Linked DNA regions of Nothobranchius furzeri. The protein of the gene in region 1 purifies or fractionates together with the protein of each later gene. This does not show direct contact. Links are inferred from orthologs where the notes say so. Each region holds a gene or a part of one and is shown on either strand. Other genes may lie near its edges.

Region 1 (8,314 bases):
GTGTGTAGTGCAACAGTGTACAATGTTTGTATCCTCTGCCTCCTCTCCACAGCGAGAACAGCAGAGCCTCAGTGTAGCCTGTTTGAGAAATGTAGGCTGATGTGTTTGAAAGGAACTGTGATCACATTTGAACCACATCTCATTTGTTGATGCTCCTTGGTCTCAGACGAGAAGCACTCATTCAGCTGAGATAACGCAGCTGCAAACAGTCGCTGTTTTCATTTTACTGTGTTAAATAAACCTTGTTTTATTCCACTAGACGGCAGTTAGACATCACACATTGAAACTAATTTTCGTCAATATCGGAAAAGTCTTCTTGGTTTGGAAGGATCATTCCCATCGGCAGGCTGTCAAACTTTAGATGTACAATGAAATGAGGAATCCTTTTGCTAGACATGGGCCAAATAGTTGGTGCCCTTCAGTCAATGAAAGGCAAACACACAATGTTCACAGAAATAACTTGAATCAAAAGAAATAATAAATAAAAATTCTATGAAATTGAACCAGTGAAAGTCACACAATGCTTTTCAGCCATGCTTCAACGGAATTATTAAATAAACTCATGGAACAGGCCTGGACAAAAACGATGGTACCCCAACTAACATCACTGCAATCAAATGATTCCTGTAACTGTCAGTGAGACTTCTGTACCTCTCAGCAGGTATTTTGGCCCACTCATCATGAGCAAGGGAGCCTTTTCCAGATGGCATGTTTCAGCTCCTTCCACAGATGCTTAATAGAATTGAGGTCCGGGCTCATAGAAGGCCACTTTAGAATAGTCCAGTGTTTTCCTCTTAACCATTCTTGGGTGTCTTAAGCTGTGTGGTTTGGGTCATTGTCCTGTTGCAAGACCCATGGCCTGCAACTGAGACTAAGCTTTCTGACACTGGCCAGCATATTTCTCTTTAGAATCTCTTGGTAGTCCTGAGATTTCATTGTACCCTGCACAGATTCAAGACACCCTGTTGCAGATGCAGCAAAGCAGTCCCAGAACATAACAGAGCCTCCTCCATGCTTCACAGTAGGGGCAGTGTTCTTTTCTTGATATGCTTCATTTTTTCCATCTGTGAACATAGAGCTGATGTCCCTTGGCCAAAAGTTCCATTTTTGTCTCATCTGTCCATAGGACATTCTCTCAGAAGCTTTGGGGCATTTCAACATGCAGGTTGGCATATTCCAGTCTGGCTTTTTTATGATTTGTTTTCAATAACGGGTGTCCTCCTTGGTCATATCCCTTATAGTCCACTTTGACACTGACATTGACAGGTGATGCGATCTGACACTGATGTTCCTTGAGCTTGAAGTTCACCTAGAATCTCTGCAGATGTTTTTCCTGTCTCTTTTGTTACCATTCAGACTATCTGTCTCTTTCACTAGTCATCAATTGTCCTCCTGCAGCCAAGTCCAGGGAGGTTGGCTACAGTCCCAATGATCTTAAATTTCTGAATAATATGTGCAACTGTAGTCACGGGAACATCTAGCTGCTTGGAGATGGTTTTATAGCCTTTACCTTTAACATGCTTGTCTATAATTTTCTTTCTAATCTGCTAAGACAACTCCTTCTTTCGCTTCCTCTGATCCATGTTGTGCGTGGTACACACCATGTCACCAGACATCACAGTGACTACCTGGAGCCCTATATGTGTAGGTCTACTGACTGATTACAAGATTGTAGACACCCATGACGCTAATTAGCGGACACCCCTTGAATTAACATGTCACTTTTGTCACATAATTCTCAGTCTTTTCCAGGGTAACATCATATGTGTTCAGGCCTGTTCCATGTGTTTGTTTTTTTATAATTCTGTTGAAGCATGGTTGAAAAGCAATGAAGCAATGAAACGGTTACATTTCATAAAATTTTTATTAGTTATTACCTTTGTCAGATTCAAGTTATTTCTGTGACCATCGTGTTATTTTTTTTTTCATTGACCCAACTGACGCTTGATCTTACACAGAAAATCAGAATTTTCCTAAAGGAAGTTCAAAAATTTGACTGGAAGAGTATTCCTGCTTTGACTCTGCTCTGAAGTTAAACCAGTATCAGACTGGCTCCAGAACCCCACCAGCACCTGGTTGAAAACATTTCTTTTCTTATTTCTGTTTTATTTGATTGCCTGTAAACAGCTTGCACCTCTACCTTTCAGTTCAAACAAACTATTGATGAGCTGTTATTGCTTTTTGTTATCTAGGTTGCAGCCAACACTCCCAGTATGTACTCTCAGGAACTGTTCCAGCTCTCCCAGTATTTACAGGTACTTCACTGACATCTGCTGGTTGGTCTGTGGATCTACATCGAGACCGATGAATGTTATTTATCTCTCTGTGGTATTGAACTCCTTCTTCTTGGCTGTCTCGTTTCTGCAGGAGGCCTTACACAGAGAACAGATGTTGGAGCAGAAGTTGGCCACTCTGCAGCGCCTGCTAAGCACCACACAGGAGGCCTCGGAGAGCAGCTGGCAGGTAGGAAACGGTCACCTTCCTTCTTCACCTACATCCTACAGACAAAACAGATACCAAGTGTAAGGGTTTATCCTCAGTAGACCTGTTCTCTGCTGTCTTTAAAATAAATGCTTTTTCTGTCTGGAGTTCAAGTTCATTAAATGAGAAGTTTTCAACCACAGTAACTAGTTTGTCTCATCCAGGCTCTGATCGATGAGGACCGCCTCCTCTCCAGACTGGAAGTGATGGGCAGTCAGTTACAGGCGTACTCTAAGGTGATGGGTGAACACAGTCAAACATTTAGCTCACTCAAATCAGCATGTTACCATTCAGTATTGATGTGTGGTTTTCTCTCACAGTCCCAGACGGAAGAAGGGATCCGTAAGGAGCTCTTGGCTCTTCAGGAGGACAAACACAACTATGAGACAACAGCAAAGGAGTCTCTGAGGAGAGTCCTGCAGGAGAAGATTGAGGTGGTCAGGAAGTTGTCAGAGGTTGAGGTGGGTTAATAGCCACATTCACACAGCAAATAAAAGTGTCACAAATCTGACTTTTTCAAATCTAAGCCGCTTTCACATCAGATCCTTAATCAGGTACATATCTCAGTCTTAACGTTCATGTCACGTTACATCCACCTTTCACATCCCTGATCTTTGGCTGGCGACTCAAATCTTCACCAGAGGAGGCAAAAATCATAAATGTAAACAATAAACAAACACGGTTCTGTTCACCACGTAGTCATGATTCTGTCAGCTCTGATAGCACAACTGATAAACACACCAACATGTGCAGCATTCATATTCGCACGCATGAACAGAGCTAGTCACGTGTGACATCACATCTTGTGTACCTGGGGTCTCTTCAGTGCTGTAGACTGATAACACGAGTCTAATTGCTGTTTTGTTTTAGTTACAATGGGAACAAACAGATAAATGCATTTCAGCATAAAATCAGACTTGAGTTCTAAGACCGGCAGTTTGAACATAACCTTTAACCTCATCTAGCCTCTGCAGACTGCTTTACAACCTAGTTTAATGCCCATATTTGCACTCATGTAGAGGTGCAGCACTTTTCATTCCCCACAAAGACAATTTGAGCTAATTAGAGGCAGCGTGATGTCTCTGTCTCACCCACTGATGCTGTGGAGGATTCATAGGTTGAACCACATGGTTGTGTCACTGAACCACAGCTGCTGTTTGTTCATAAAAAAAAATTGTTACGTTCTGCAGCGCGCTCTCAGTAACACCGAGGATGAGTGTACCCACCTGAAGGAGATGTCAGAGAGGGGCCAGGAGGAGCTGAGGGAGCTGGCTAACAAATACAACGCTGCTGTCAACGAGATCAAAGAGCTCACTGACAAAATTAAGGTACCTAAACAAACAGGTCAGGATTAACGAGAATTAAGTCAGCATAGAAACGTCTTTTGAAAGCTTTGTTTGTGTGTTTAAAACTAAAATGTATTATTTTATTTCTTACCTCATGTTTTCTTTCTTTTATCTTTCAAAACAACTCTTTTCTTTTTTATTTCATCTGCTTGTTTTATTTCTGGTTTGCTTCACACTCGTCTCCCCTTCCTGATTTTTGCTGCTCCTTTTCTTCTCCTCCAGGCAGCCGAGGGCAGGCAGGAGGAGCTGACTCAGCAGGGGGCAACAGAGAAAAGGGAGATGGAGATGCGAATTGAAGAGATGGAGGAGAAGGAGCAGGTTCTCCAGGCTCGTATTGAGGCTCTGCAGGCTGACAACGACTTTACAAACGAGAGACTCGCGGCCCTCCAAGGTACAAATTAGTTCATCAGACAGTTACCCTGACAGATTTACTTTGTCCTTACTTCTAACCTCTTTAATCCAACCTTTAATCATATATTTTATCATAATTTCCATAATTAACCTCAAAGTGAATCATGTCCTCCATGTTGATGTTTCCAAACCCTGGTCCTCAGGGCACACTGACCTACATGTTTCCCGTGCTTCCGCACACCTTATTGCCTCCTCAGGAGGACATCAAGTGCTGCAGATGCCTGTTAATCCCTCATTCATTTAAGTCAGGTGTCTGGCAGCAGGGAAACACTGATGTTTAAAAAGGACAACATGGAAAACATGCAGGACAGTGTGCCTTGAGGACCAGTTAGGAAACACTGTGCTATGTGACACTATGAAGACAAATACTTGTAGATCAGAAGCTGGATCAGCAGTGTCTCATCAGATCTACTTCTGTAAGTTACTACTTTGCTGTTGTTTACAGTGCGGTTAGAACAGCTACAAGAGAAAAGCATTAAAGAGAACAACAGTCTTGGTGAGTCCACGTGTCTCCAGTCTGCTGTGAGACAAAGGTTGTGTGTCTGTGGCCGTTCACTTCACACGTTCATCCTGCACTAACGATGCATGCCACCCTGCTGCATGATATTCCTTTTCCTGTTGCTCACCGTTCTTGCAGCTCTTCTTTGTTCATTTGTTTCCTACGGTGGGATTCTGGTCGTTCATCTTCTGTTTTCATCTTGGAGGTGGTGGGATGTTCACACTCAGCCTGTCTTCCAGGAATAGGACAAGAAATGATTCATAAAGAGATTACAGATAAATCCACAAACACCTGAAAGTGTGTTGACTCCGTTTTACAGGCTTGGAGAGACACAAACTCCCCCCATTTTATGTTTTTAATTAAAGATCTAAAGAACTGTTTTTTGTTTTAGAGTAATGTTTCCTCTTCACATTAGAATATTTTATTATATCAGGCTTCAGAACAATTAAATATAGAAACTAGACATTAAATAAAAACCAGTCAAAAACACAAAGCTTTGTAAGAGGCCAGAGTCATCGTCCACATGAATGTTTATTAGAAAAAAAGACAAATTGTTCTTTTTCTCCCACTAAGTGGGTTTAAAACGTAGCTGTGAGTGTGACCATGTCGCTAAAATCAATCTAACTGGATTTTCGAAGTCTCTGGGAATGTTTTGCGTTTCTAAAACAACACAGTCATTTATTTTAGCCACTGGGTGTGTTTCAGTCTGAGAAGGGTTGTCCGTGGGGACGTGTTGTCCACTCTTAATGGGCTTGTTTGATAGTCTGGGTTGTTTCCACAGTTTTCAAACTGTCCACTGCTTTTGTTTATTCTTCTTGGGGAAATTAAAGAAGCTTTTGGTCACTGATTGACTCCTGGTGATTGAATGTCGACGCCATCCTTTTAGGTGACTGTTCACTGCTCACTTTGCCACAGCAGCCACATTTCTCAGGAGCCCTCCATCATTTAGACTTTGTGCTGTGCATGTGTGTAGCTGGTAGAGCCTCCGACAAAATGGTGTGTGTCTGATCTGGTCACATGACAGATGTCGACACGGTCTCCCGTGGACCCGTAGAGGAACCTGTCGAAGACAAACTGAACCTGGAGACGGCTGAGAGCCAAGACGAAGATGAGCGGGATTCAGATACTGATGGTAGTTAGTTTAATTGTCATAACAGAATAAAATATCAAGCACGTTTTTGTCTTCAGAATGAAAGACAATAAGCCCTTTATGCTTTCAAATAAAGAAGGAATCAATGTTATATTTGAGTTCTTTCTAGGGATTGTTTGTTAATTTGATTTATGTTAAAAACAAATGTAGAAAACTAGATAAGAGTTCATGTTAATCACCAGTGATGTATTTGATTCAAAAACAAACATGTTTAAAAGGTGGAACAAAGTTTGGTTCCAGAGGAATTTAGTAGAAATGTAAATATAAGAAACGGGTTTGCTTATTAGGCTGCCTGTTTGAGTTCTCTGTCCAGAAGAAACGTGATTAATAATAATAATCCCTTCATGCTTTTCTTTGTTTCAGTTGTGAAGCAAATAATGTTTGGGTGTTGAGAATTAGTTTCAGTGTTCACGCTCACAAAAGACATCTCAATGTAAAACGGTTGGCTAGTCTGCAGTTGTTTGTTGTTCTGGCAGGAGTTCTGGTACCAGAACCACCGTGTTTTACTCTCGGAAACAAGTTGTTGCTTTTTTATCTTTGATTTCTTCCCCATCTGTCTGGCCAGCGCCTGTCTGTCCATCTAGTTTTTGTCTGTCTATAATTCGTCAGCACTGCCATGCTTTAATTGCTTTTATCTGTCTCATTGTCCTCACTGTGGCATTACTCATAAAACATTACTGTTTGGGATTTATGCTTCAATCTTTCTATTATGATTCTGCTTCTTCAGTCCAGGAAATTACAATGTTGAGAGCTTCACTAGGGGTGTAACGGCACGCCTGTAAACCCTTCTTTCCACCGGAGCCGTCAGCAGCGCGAGTCGGCCGCGTCTCAGGAGCAGCATGTCACGGCCCTTACGCGCTGGTTCTATTTTCTACGCGCGACACCTCTGAAACGGGTCAAGTTCGACATTTTTGGGGAAGGAAAGACAGGAAATCGGATGCGGAAACGGAGCGAAGCTCCCGAGATTTTCAGAATAAAGAAACGTACTGCCTTCCGGTTACTTTACTTTAAAAAAAAGTGACTAGCTGTGCGGCCCCGTGAGAAGTTATCACCTAGCTAGCGGTCTCCTTTGTGTTTCAGGTCCGTTTTGGCGATTATAAAACGGACAGAACATAAAACACAAACCATGTTGTAATTTTCTCCTGCTTGTTGTTGTGTTTACTGACGAAGTCACTCATGTGACTTCGTGCTCTGTCGGTGACAGCTGCTCCCCTGCTGCTTCGCGTCTCGTGGGAAGGGCCAAGCAGCAGCTTACGCGAGCAAGACGTGCTGCTGCAGTAACTTGCTGCTGACGGCTCCGGTGGAAAGAAGGGGTAATCCCGGTTTGGTACATACCTCGGTTTCAATGTCACGGTTCGATTTTCTCAGCTGTAACAGAAACATCAGGCAGAATTTTTGAAAAGTTTAGGAAATTAACTTTCTATATTTTCTTAATGCAGCATCAGGAGTTCCAGCTTGTAGCCTTGATCAGGTTCATTCAACCATCACATGTTTGATAAAAATATGAATTTGTCCACATTGTCTGCTGAAAGGACAGATCTGTTGGTAGTTGCAGTTCAATTCAATTCAAAATACTTTATTTATTTTGCCTCCAGACCTAATGGGGACAGAGGCAGCCTGCATCACTGCTAAGTATGAACTTCTATTTAACATTGTCATGGTTGCTAGGCGATGATACTTAAGCCAATGTTAGGGCAGGGATAAATCTGAAGGCTAGACCTTCAAATTTCACAGTCGCTCACTTTCAGTAAACGAAGGACTGGTGTCTGGTACCGACACCAGCCTCCCTAGACCGGGTAGGTCGGGTCCTTCGAAGGATGCAGCCTCTGAATTGGGACACAGCTGCATGTGTTGTTGGGTAAAATTAATGTTACATGTCTGTGGGGGAACCTGGTACACTCTGTCCCTTACTGAACTCTGAATATGATACATGTATCGTTACACCCCTAGTCTTTATACAAACGTATGTATGAATGTAAAAGATCAGCATTCAACTAATTTGTTTTCTGATTTAAAATTTTTATACTATCATACAAATAATAATGAGATTAAGAAGCCCTGCTTCAAACAAAGATCACGTTTGTGTCTGAGGTCCAGCTCTATCTGGTACTGATGAGCAGAGTCGGTAAGGTCTAAGTTCTGCCCGGCTCCAGTCTGATGGTTGTGGTCCTCTGTGTCTCTGTCAGACAACTGTCATGTCAACAACAGTGGAGGAGACTCACCTAGAACCCCACAGTTGATTGAGTGTCCGCGTGAGTACAAACATGCCCTTCAGATGTTTACAGATACACACTCTTTATCTTCTACCTGCTGCTCTACGGAGGCTCGTTGCTGTCAGGAAGAGCACCAAAACAGAAGTCAACAAGGAAGAGAGTTGGTCTAAGGGCCAGTATCGTGTTTCTTTATTAAAACTTAAGAATTGTTTTT
Region 2 (8,314 bases), on another chromosome or scaffold:
GAGAGCTGGGTCAAAGGTCACACCAAGATTCCTGACAGAGGGTTTGGTGTGAGAAGCAAGCTGAGCAAGAGAGTCTCTGACTTTGGGAACCAGCAACCATTGGTTGAAAAAATGTGAACCTTAATGGACTGCTTATATCAGAGATTTTTGATGCAGTCCGATATAATCCGATACACTGTTTTTGGGCCAATATCAAATTACTTTCGACATCGATATCGGAACGGGACATCCCTAACTTAAATTTGGTGCCCTAAAGAGAAGGAAGCCCCTCTAGGATCGCTGATCAACATGCAGAGCTGAAGCACAGCAGAGAGGGAGGAGGAAGAGCAAATTTAAAATAAATAAATAAATATAACATTTGTGACTTAGACAGAATAACGACATATAAAATACATAATAATTATTTTTGGGCTGCTCAATTAATCGAATTTTAATCCCAATTACCATCTGAGTTTTGAACGATTATAAAAACAAAACAAGCCGATTATTTGCTCCTCCCACTTGCGCTGCCCGAGTTGCAAATGAAGCGCTCCTCCCACAGCTGTGGTTGGGACAATTATTACATTAACTGACGGATCTGTAAATAAATAGTTCATGAATAAGGTATAAATAAGTTCCTCACGCTGATAAATAATAACTAACCTCTCTGAGGACACGGTGCTAGTGCACTCTCCTACAGCACCTTGACACGACTCATTAAATGTTATGCAACATTTTGTGAACATCACTTTATTTGCATGTATTTGTTATAAATGCCACTGCATAATTCTTGCTGTCAGTATTTGCAAGATATTGGTATTTGGGTCTGTACTGGTTAGACTTAAATGAGTTAAACCAAGCAGTGGCGTGTCCAGATCTTTTAGAATGGGGTGGCCCAGGTGAGGCACAACTTTGTGCATGGGTGGCACCAATGGTTATGCTTTTCTTTTTGTTTTACCCCCAAGCCTTTTGTGGACAATGAAAAGCCTATTTAAAGTTAAATTAGTGTGGTGGTACCTGGGGTGGCCAATCAGATTCCAAGGGTGGCATGTGCTACCCCAGACCACTCCCTGGACACACCCCTGAAACCAAGGTCTATAGCCCTTGGGTCATAAACTATGAGCTATAAGTGTATTGGTCTTTTTTATACTGGGAATCGGGTTATTTTAATTCAATTCAATTCAAGTTTATTTATATAGCGCCAAATCACGACAAGAGTCGTCTCAAGGCACTTCACATAATAAACATTCCAATTCACAGTTCATTAAACCAATCAGAAATAATGTTTCCTATATAAGGAACCCAGCAAATTGCATCAAGTCACTGACTAGTGTCAGTGACTATACAGCAATCCTCATACTAAGCAAGCATAAAGCGACAGTGGAGAGGAAAACTCCCTTTTAACAGGAAGAAACCTCCAGAGAATCCTGGCTCAGTATAAGCAGCCATCCTCCACGACTCACTGGGGATTGAGAAGACGAAGCAGGCCCGCACGCACGCACGCACGCACGCACGCACACACACACACACACACACACTAGTAATGTGTCTATAGGTATATTGTGATGTCTTTTAGTGATCATCTTGTTTCTTATTTATTTTTGTCCTGATTGTGCCCTGAGCAATTTTATGACGGAATAAAAACAAATAAAATCAACATAAATTGAAAAATCGTCCTAAATAATCGAGATCTCAATTTCAGTCACCATAATCGTGATTATTATTTTTGCCATAATCGAGCAGCCCTACTTATGATGCTAATAACTGTCCTGAAGGCATTTCTCTAAAAACTAATTTAGTGTTATATCACAATAATTTTCCATCAAAGGAAACACTTTTAAGACAACATGTTTCCGTTTCCTCTCCTCAGAGTTCTCACGTGGATCCAGAGGAGCTGTTCACCAAACTGGATCGAATTGGAAAAGGGTCTTTTGGAGAAGTGGGTCCATTTTCATCTTTGTTTTGTCTCAGACATTCCATTCCTTCCTGATCCTAACTTTTTATCTACCTCCAACAGGTGTTCAAAGGCATCGATAATCGCTCTCAGAGTGTTGTCGCCATCAAGACGATCGACCTGGAGGAGGCGGAAGATGAGATCGAGGACATCCAGCAGGAGATCACCGTGCTCAGTCAGTGTGACAGCCCATACATCACCAAATACTTTGGCTCCTACCTGAAGGTGAGAAAAGACATAGTTCAGGCTGATCCGAGTCTCGTCGGTGACGAAGGTGTGTGTGAAACAGTTAACAGAGAGCAGCCGTAGTTAGTGTCTGCTGCTGGTTTCCAGCATCTGCTTATCGTTTTCCTTTTGCTGCATTTGCTGTAACTTATTAACACAAATGGTTTTCTTGTTCAGGGCAGTAAACTATGGATCATCATGGAGTATCTGGGTGGTGGTTCAGCGCTGGATTTGGTGAGCGAGCTGGATTTATCTATTCAGTCTGTCTGCAGACAGTTTTTAACACTAAAACAACCTTCAGGTTGAGTTTTATGCTAAGTAGCTGCAGTTTAGTAAAAAAAAATTAAATGTCCTCACACTTAATCTTGTATCATCTAAAATATCTGAGACACGATGTTCTCTGATGACAAACCTGAGCTTTTATGTTGCATTTTATCAGCCAGTAAAGTCCAGCAATGGTGCTACAATGTCTTGCCCCGTTAGGTTGGTTTATGCTTGACGCGTCCGCGAGGTCCGCACCGCTCCGCGCGGAAAAGTTGCGTCATTTTGCGTCATCTTAACAACCACGCCCCTCCACCGCGCCTCCGCACGGCCCAGAATTTCCGCAATGCGCACGTCGGAAAATTTCTAACCACGCGGACAGACGGACGCGGAAAAACATGGCGGACCGGCAAGAACTACTACGGCAGAGGTTCGTAAACACAGACATTTGTATGATTCAGCTCTCAAAGATCACCGTGATCAACATGTTGTTAATAATTCTTGGAGAGAAATAGCTCGCACTGTCGGAAAAGACGAGGACGCTGTTAAAAAATGCTGGAATGCCATGTTGTAAACAGTAATTTCTACTTCTACTATGGTGTAGTGTTGGATGCATGCCGTAGAGCTCCATGCTGCCCCCTACAGTTTGGGAGAATATTGGCTCACCGCAGAGACGAGCCGCACGAACCATAAACGCTGCAAGTTGTGAAGCACGTTCCATCCGCGAGCCGCATCACCGCGCGGAAAGTGAATGCGTCAAGCATAAACCAAGCTTAACAGCATGCAAGACTTAGAGTTGTGCTTGTCATGAATCCTCTTACACCTCAGTGACAAAAAAGAGGTTTTGTTTTTCTCCCCACCAAACATACAAAATGTCACACTCGGATTTTGGATCTTTAGCCCCAAGTTTTAAACATCAGGTCAGAGATTTGGGTGTCATTTTTGTTGTTGTGTTGTGTTGAATTTTGACAAGCAGATTGACTCAGTCATCAAGACTAGCTTCTTTCAGCTCAGTTTTAGCTAACGTAAAACCGTCTTAAGTCACTGTGACCTGGAAAGAGCCAAGCAGGCTTTTAGCAGCTCCCGTCTGGATTGGTGCAATGCTCTGTAAACGAGCCTAGCACACAAAACTAGTCCAAAACGCAGCTGCACGTCTGCTCACCAACATCCCTAGGTGGCAACACGTCGCTCCTGTCCTCTCATCACTTCATTGGCTCTCTGTTAGCTTCAGAATTGAATTCAAGGTTGGACTGTTTCTGGTGTTCGTGGGCTCGCACCATCCTACATCTGTGACAGGCTCTCATTACAATAGCAGGGCAGAGAAACGAGACCCTCTGCTAAATTTTATCTACATGTTCTGAGATCTGAATGCAGACAGCGAGATGATCGCCAAGGCTCCCTCGTGCCAGCTTGACCTGCGCATGATTACTGATGTCACCTTCTTAAAGTCTGGATTAAAGACGCCTCTTTCACATGATTTTTCAAAATCCTGGGGGTGTTATCTGTGTTGAATCCCAATTTTTGCATTTTAACCGGTTATATTTGGGCTGCATGGTGGCACAGTGGTTAGCACTGTTGCCTCGCAGCACGAAGGTCGCAGGTTCAAAACTCGCCTTTCTGCGTGGAGTTGCGTGTTCTCCCCATGCATGCGTGGGTTTTCTCCGGGTACTCCGGTTTCCCCCACAGATCACAACATGCTCTATAGGTTAAAAAAAAAAAAAAAAATTGTAAGTCGCTTTGGGTAAAAGCGTCTGCTAAGAACATAAACAACAAACAACATATATTTGTCGTCTTAAAATGGCGTTCATTTTGTATAACTTTTTATAGTAGTTCTAAATTGTTTTACATTGGTTCTGATTTTTACTTTTTATCATGGTTCTTAATTATTTTAATGTCACTTTTACTTTCTTTCTTTCCATATTAAATGTTAACCCTTTAAGCAACAAAGTCGCGATGTTGTGACGAGCCACAGCTACAAATGCGATCCCTGATGAAGTTACTACTTTACACCAGAAGATAGTGGAGATGTTATTAGTGCAGCACCAGCTCCAAACATTGGGTTTGAAGTTTGTTTCACCGTGTTTGGGACATGGTGGATGTAGAAATGATGGTTAAAAACATCGCTAACGTGACAGACGTAGCGGCAATGTAAAAAAAATTTAAAAAGCCGTAAAAAGGCAGCAGATGCGTTCGTTATGTACGGAAGCCAAAGTGTGGCAAATAATCATAAAAATATTTTTCCTTTGGATCAAATGATCATTATATTCGTGGGAAGGACGTCCCTGAGGCTGCACAATCCCAAAGAAACCTGACAAATATGACTAAACGCATTCCTCTAGAGTGAGCCCAATATAAATATAAAAAAATACAATATAAAAAAACAATGCAATTCAAATTTCAAGAGCTTTTATATACATGTATATAAATTCGAAATGTCAAATTATGATGAAAATGTCTAAATAACCTGAAAAAATGAGGAACATCTGTAAAAATGATGCATTCCAATATGGCAGCCTGGTGATGTCATTATGCGCAAATTAGATGAGCGAATTTGCTCCCAACACAAATTTTGGGTCCTACTGAAGATTTTTCTCATTTACAGTTTACCTTTATCTTTAACCATTTCCGAGCTACAACCTTTTGAAACAGTCATGTCAAAATTTTACATTTTCTTGAAAGAAATCTGGCGCCCAAAGGGTTAAACCTTTGGTGGCCCTCTGGGTAGTGTAAAGCGCTATATAAATAAACATTAATCGATTGATTAATTCATAGTCTTATTTAAAATTAATCTGATTCTGAATGAACCTGATCACCTGGTGTGTGTGTGTGTGTGTGTGTGTGTGTGTGTGTGTGTGTGTGTGTGTGTGTGTGTGTGTGTGTGTGTGTGTGTGCGTGCGTGCGTGCGTGCGTGCGTGCGCGTGCGTTTGTGCGCGCAGCTGAAGGCGGGACCATTTGAAGAGTCTCAGATTGCCACCATGCTGAAGGAGATCCTAAAGGGTCTCGACTACCTGCACTCTGAGAAGAAGATCCACAGAGACATCAAAGGTTAGACTTCAAAATAAGATCCTTCAAAATAAGATCCTTCAAAATAAAATAATAATAATTTAACTAAAATTAAGTCGAGAAGCTGCAGAGATCCAAACTTTTAGTGCTTGGTGTTGATGAAGCCCAGAATCATTTAGTGTTCCTTGTCATCATCCAGTTTACAGTGTAAGTTGTGAAAATATTCATTTTTGGTCAATTTGTTTTGTTTGATTTCATTTAAAATTTCTTGCTAAAATTAGTTTAACAAAATAAACTCTTTAGACATTCCTTTACCACATTTTAAAAGTTTTGTTTTTACCCATTGAAAGGCAAACTCCTGCTTTGAAGTAAAACTATTTATTTTAAATGTATTTCTGGAAACACCTAGTTTAGTCTATGAACTTTGACCTTTTACATTCCTGGTAAACCACTCTGACAGCAGCACCACATTCAACCGTTTTAGTTGCAGATCCGTTTAAAAGATCTTTTTTCTGTTAAAAATCTTTCTTAAATGTTTAACCTCCACACCAAGACAAAAAAATAAAACTTACCACCTTATAATTTTAGTTAATGATGTGAAACTAATAAATGTTCTCTTCTCATGTTAAATATTTGAATAATGATGACATTAAAATATTAAAAGAAATGAATCTAATAATAATGTAGGGTAATAACTTTATCTAATACCCTATGGCCCATGAGTCCACCACATATGTGGACGTTAGTTTATCCTCCTCATCTTAGGCATTTTTTTGTTATTTAGAGATACTTGATATTGACTCTAAATCTAAAAATATTTTCTTTTTCTTTCTTTTATTTTGGGAAGTTTGTCGGAACGTTTATTGTTCTTATTTATGACTAATCTGTAGCTTCAGCAGCACGTTTAGAAGACTTACTGAGTAAAATATGCTCTACAAAGTAGTCCATCAGCCAATAAATGTTGCGCTGTTTTATCAGTAAAGAGTAACTTATTGGTGATGTTTTTCTTACGTTTGGACAAACTTTCTGATAGCTGGATTATAGTTTGATATTAAAAATAAAAGTTGATTATTGTCAACAGCCGCCAATGTCCTGCTTTCGGAGCATGGCGCCGTGAAGCTGGCTGACTTCGGAGTGGCTGGTCAGCTGACAGACACACAAATCAAGAGGGAAACCTTCGTGGGAACGCCATTCTGGATGGCGCCTGAGGTCATCCAGCAGTCAGCTTACGACTCAAAGGTCAGTCACCTGTTTACCTTGGTAACCTTCATGCCTTATTCTCTAGCTCCAACATAGCTGAGACCAAAAGGTGAAATTTTTCTTTGCTTTCTAGATTTTATTTTCTTGCATTTTACTCCAAAAATTGAATTGAACCCACAGATTAGTTCTATTAAAAGTAAATCAGAATCAGAATAGGTTTATTGCCATTGTCAGTGAGCAAACAATTCACAAACTAGGAACTTGCTTCGGTACTAATGTGTTACATATAACATGAATAATAAGATTAAAAATAGAATAAATTAGAATAAAAATAATAATAAAAAACTAGAATAAAACTTTCAGCTATAAAAAAATGGCAGGTAATGTTAACATGGCCGATAACGTGACGTTAAAAATGGTTCTTGTGTCCTCTGGTCTTTTAAAAAGCTTCAGATCTGCTGTGGAAATTGATTTATTGCATGAACTGTTGTGTGCAAAAACTACATGAAACTTATATTATTTTAGTGTCTAAAAGCAGAAGCTGTTTTTAGTTACGTCTGTTTTAGAAATGACGTCTCATCTCGCCTAGACCAAACCACCTCACAGAGCTTCTGTTAGTCAACATGAGGAAGCTAATTTGAGCCAGTAATGCAGATCCGAATCTCAATCATTTTGTCTGCGTGCTGGTTTGTTCAGAAACGTATCGCGTACGCAGACGACGCCCCACTGTATCTGAAAACCCACATTTCTCTGTTATTAAATCTTGACTGACACAGAAACTTTTGTTTTTAACTGGCTAATAAGGTCCAAGGCAGGTCTAAAAACAGCTTTGACCCTAGTTCGAGTTCCTTGTTGCTGTGCTACGAGGTTTGCATATTTCTGAGGCAACCTAAACTGCGTGGATCAACGCGACTCTGAGCTCGTTTGCATTATTTCCGAAGCGCTCCCGGTTTTATTTGCATGTGATGAAAAGGCCTGTCCAGCCATCTGGTTGTGTTTGATGCTTTGTGCAGCAGACGACGACATGATGAGGTTTCAGGTTTGCTGGGATTCCCTCATCAGGCTCTTTGTTGGAGTACTAAAAGTGAAGCCAGCTGCCTCACACACAAAAGCCATGGTTTCCAGGTGGTGAATGCTGACTGTTGAGGTAGATTTCTGTGTTTATGAACGCTCCAGCCTGCACCAAACATAAAAAGACTGAATAACAAAGTAAATAAAGGTACAAAGGAATTACACAACAGGGTGACGTGTGCAGAGCCCCGTCCATTTGGGCGTGTCTTCATGTGGTCTGACTTATCCGTGGTTTTCAGACCGATGGGCTTTTTAGATGTCTTTTTGTAACTTTAAGTTACTGAAAACTCCTTAAAGAGCAAGTCACCCCCAAATCTACATTTTTTTGCTCATAAACTATATATATATGAGTCTCTAATCATGCTGTAGTCAGTAATTTGGCACTTTAGTGCATCTTAGTTCAAATTTAAATATTCTGGCTAAAACTGTCGGTGTCTGCACCCTCTTCAGGTAACAACTTTGCACTGCATTTGAATTTAAATCTGCCATTGCTGTTGGCTAAGAGGTACACTATGACATTAGATGGTACATTATGAGCATTTGTTGCATTTTTCAAACAGGGAGTGGAGTAAGACTCTGGTAGGGGGTGACTTGCTCTATAAAGTGAGTGTGTATCTGTAA

The links.
Region 2: the proteins of slmapa (region 1) and stk26 purify together in Homo sapiens (affinity purification with mass spectrometry; 5 studies listed by BioGRID and IntAct, with this or other methods). This does not show direct contact. The link is inferred for Nothobranchius furzeri from reciprocal best matches to the Homo sapiens genes SLMAP and STK26.

The regions. Positions count from the first base shown.
Region 1 is NC_091743.1:68,923,958-68,932,271, forward strand, and holds part of slmapa (sarcolemma associated protein a), read left to right. Parts: intron 1-2,192; coding exon 2,193-2,255; intron 2,256-2,367; coding exon 2,368-2,463; intron 2,464-2,645; coding exon 2,646-2,717; intron 2,718-2,801; coding exon 2,802-2,942; intron 2,943-3,671; coding exon 3,672-3,809; intron 3,810-4,049; coding exon 4,050-4,218; intron 4,219-4,683; coding exon 4,684-4,734; intron 4,735-5,761; coding exon 5,762-5,869; intron 5,870-8,073; coding exon 8,074-8,139; intron 8,140-8,314. UniProt on the Homo sapiens protein: Associates with the striatin-interacting phosphatase and kinase (STRIPAK) core complex, forming the extended (SIKE1:SLMAP)STRIPAK complex.
Region 2 is NC_091742.1:86,839,045-86,847,358, forward strand, and holds part of stk26 (serine/threonine-protein kinase 26), read left to right. Parts: intron 1-1,849; coding exon 1,850-1,918; intron 1,919-1,996; coding exon 1,997-2,158; intron 2,159-2,335; coding exon 2,336-2,392; intron 2,393-5,355; coding exon 5,356-5,464; intron 5,465-6,503; coding exon 6,504-6,661; intron 6,662-8,314. UniProt on the Homo sapiens protein: Serine/threonine-protein kinase that acts as a mediator of cell growth. Modulates apoptosis. In association with STK24 negatively regulates Golgi reorientation in polarized cell migration upon RHO activation.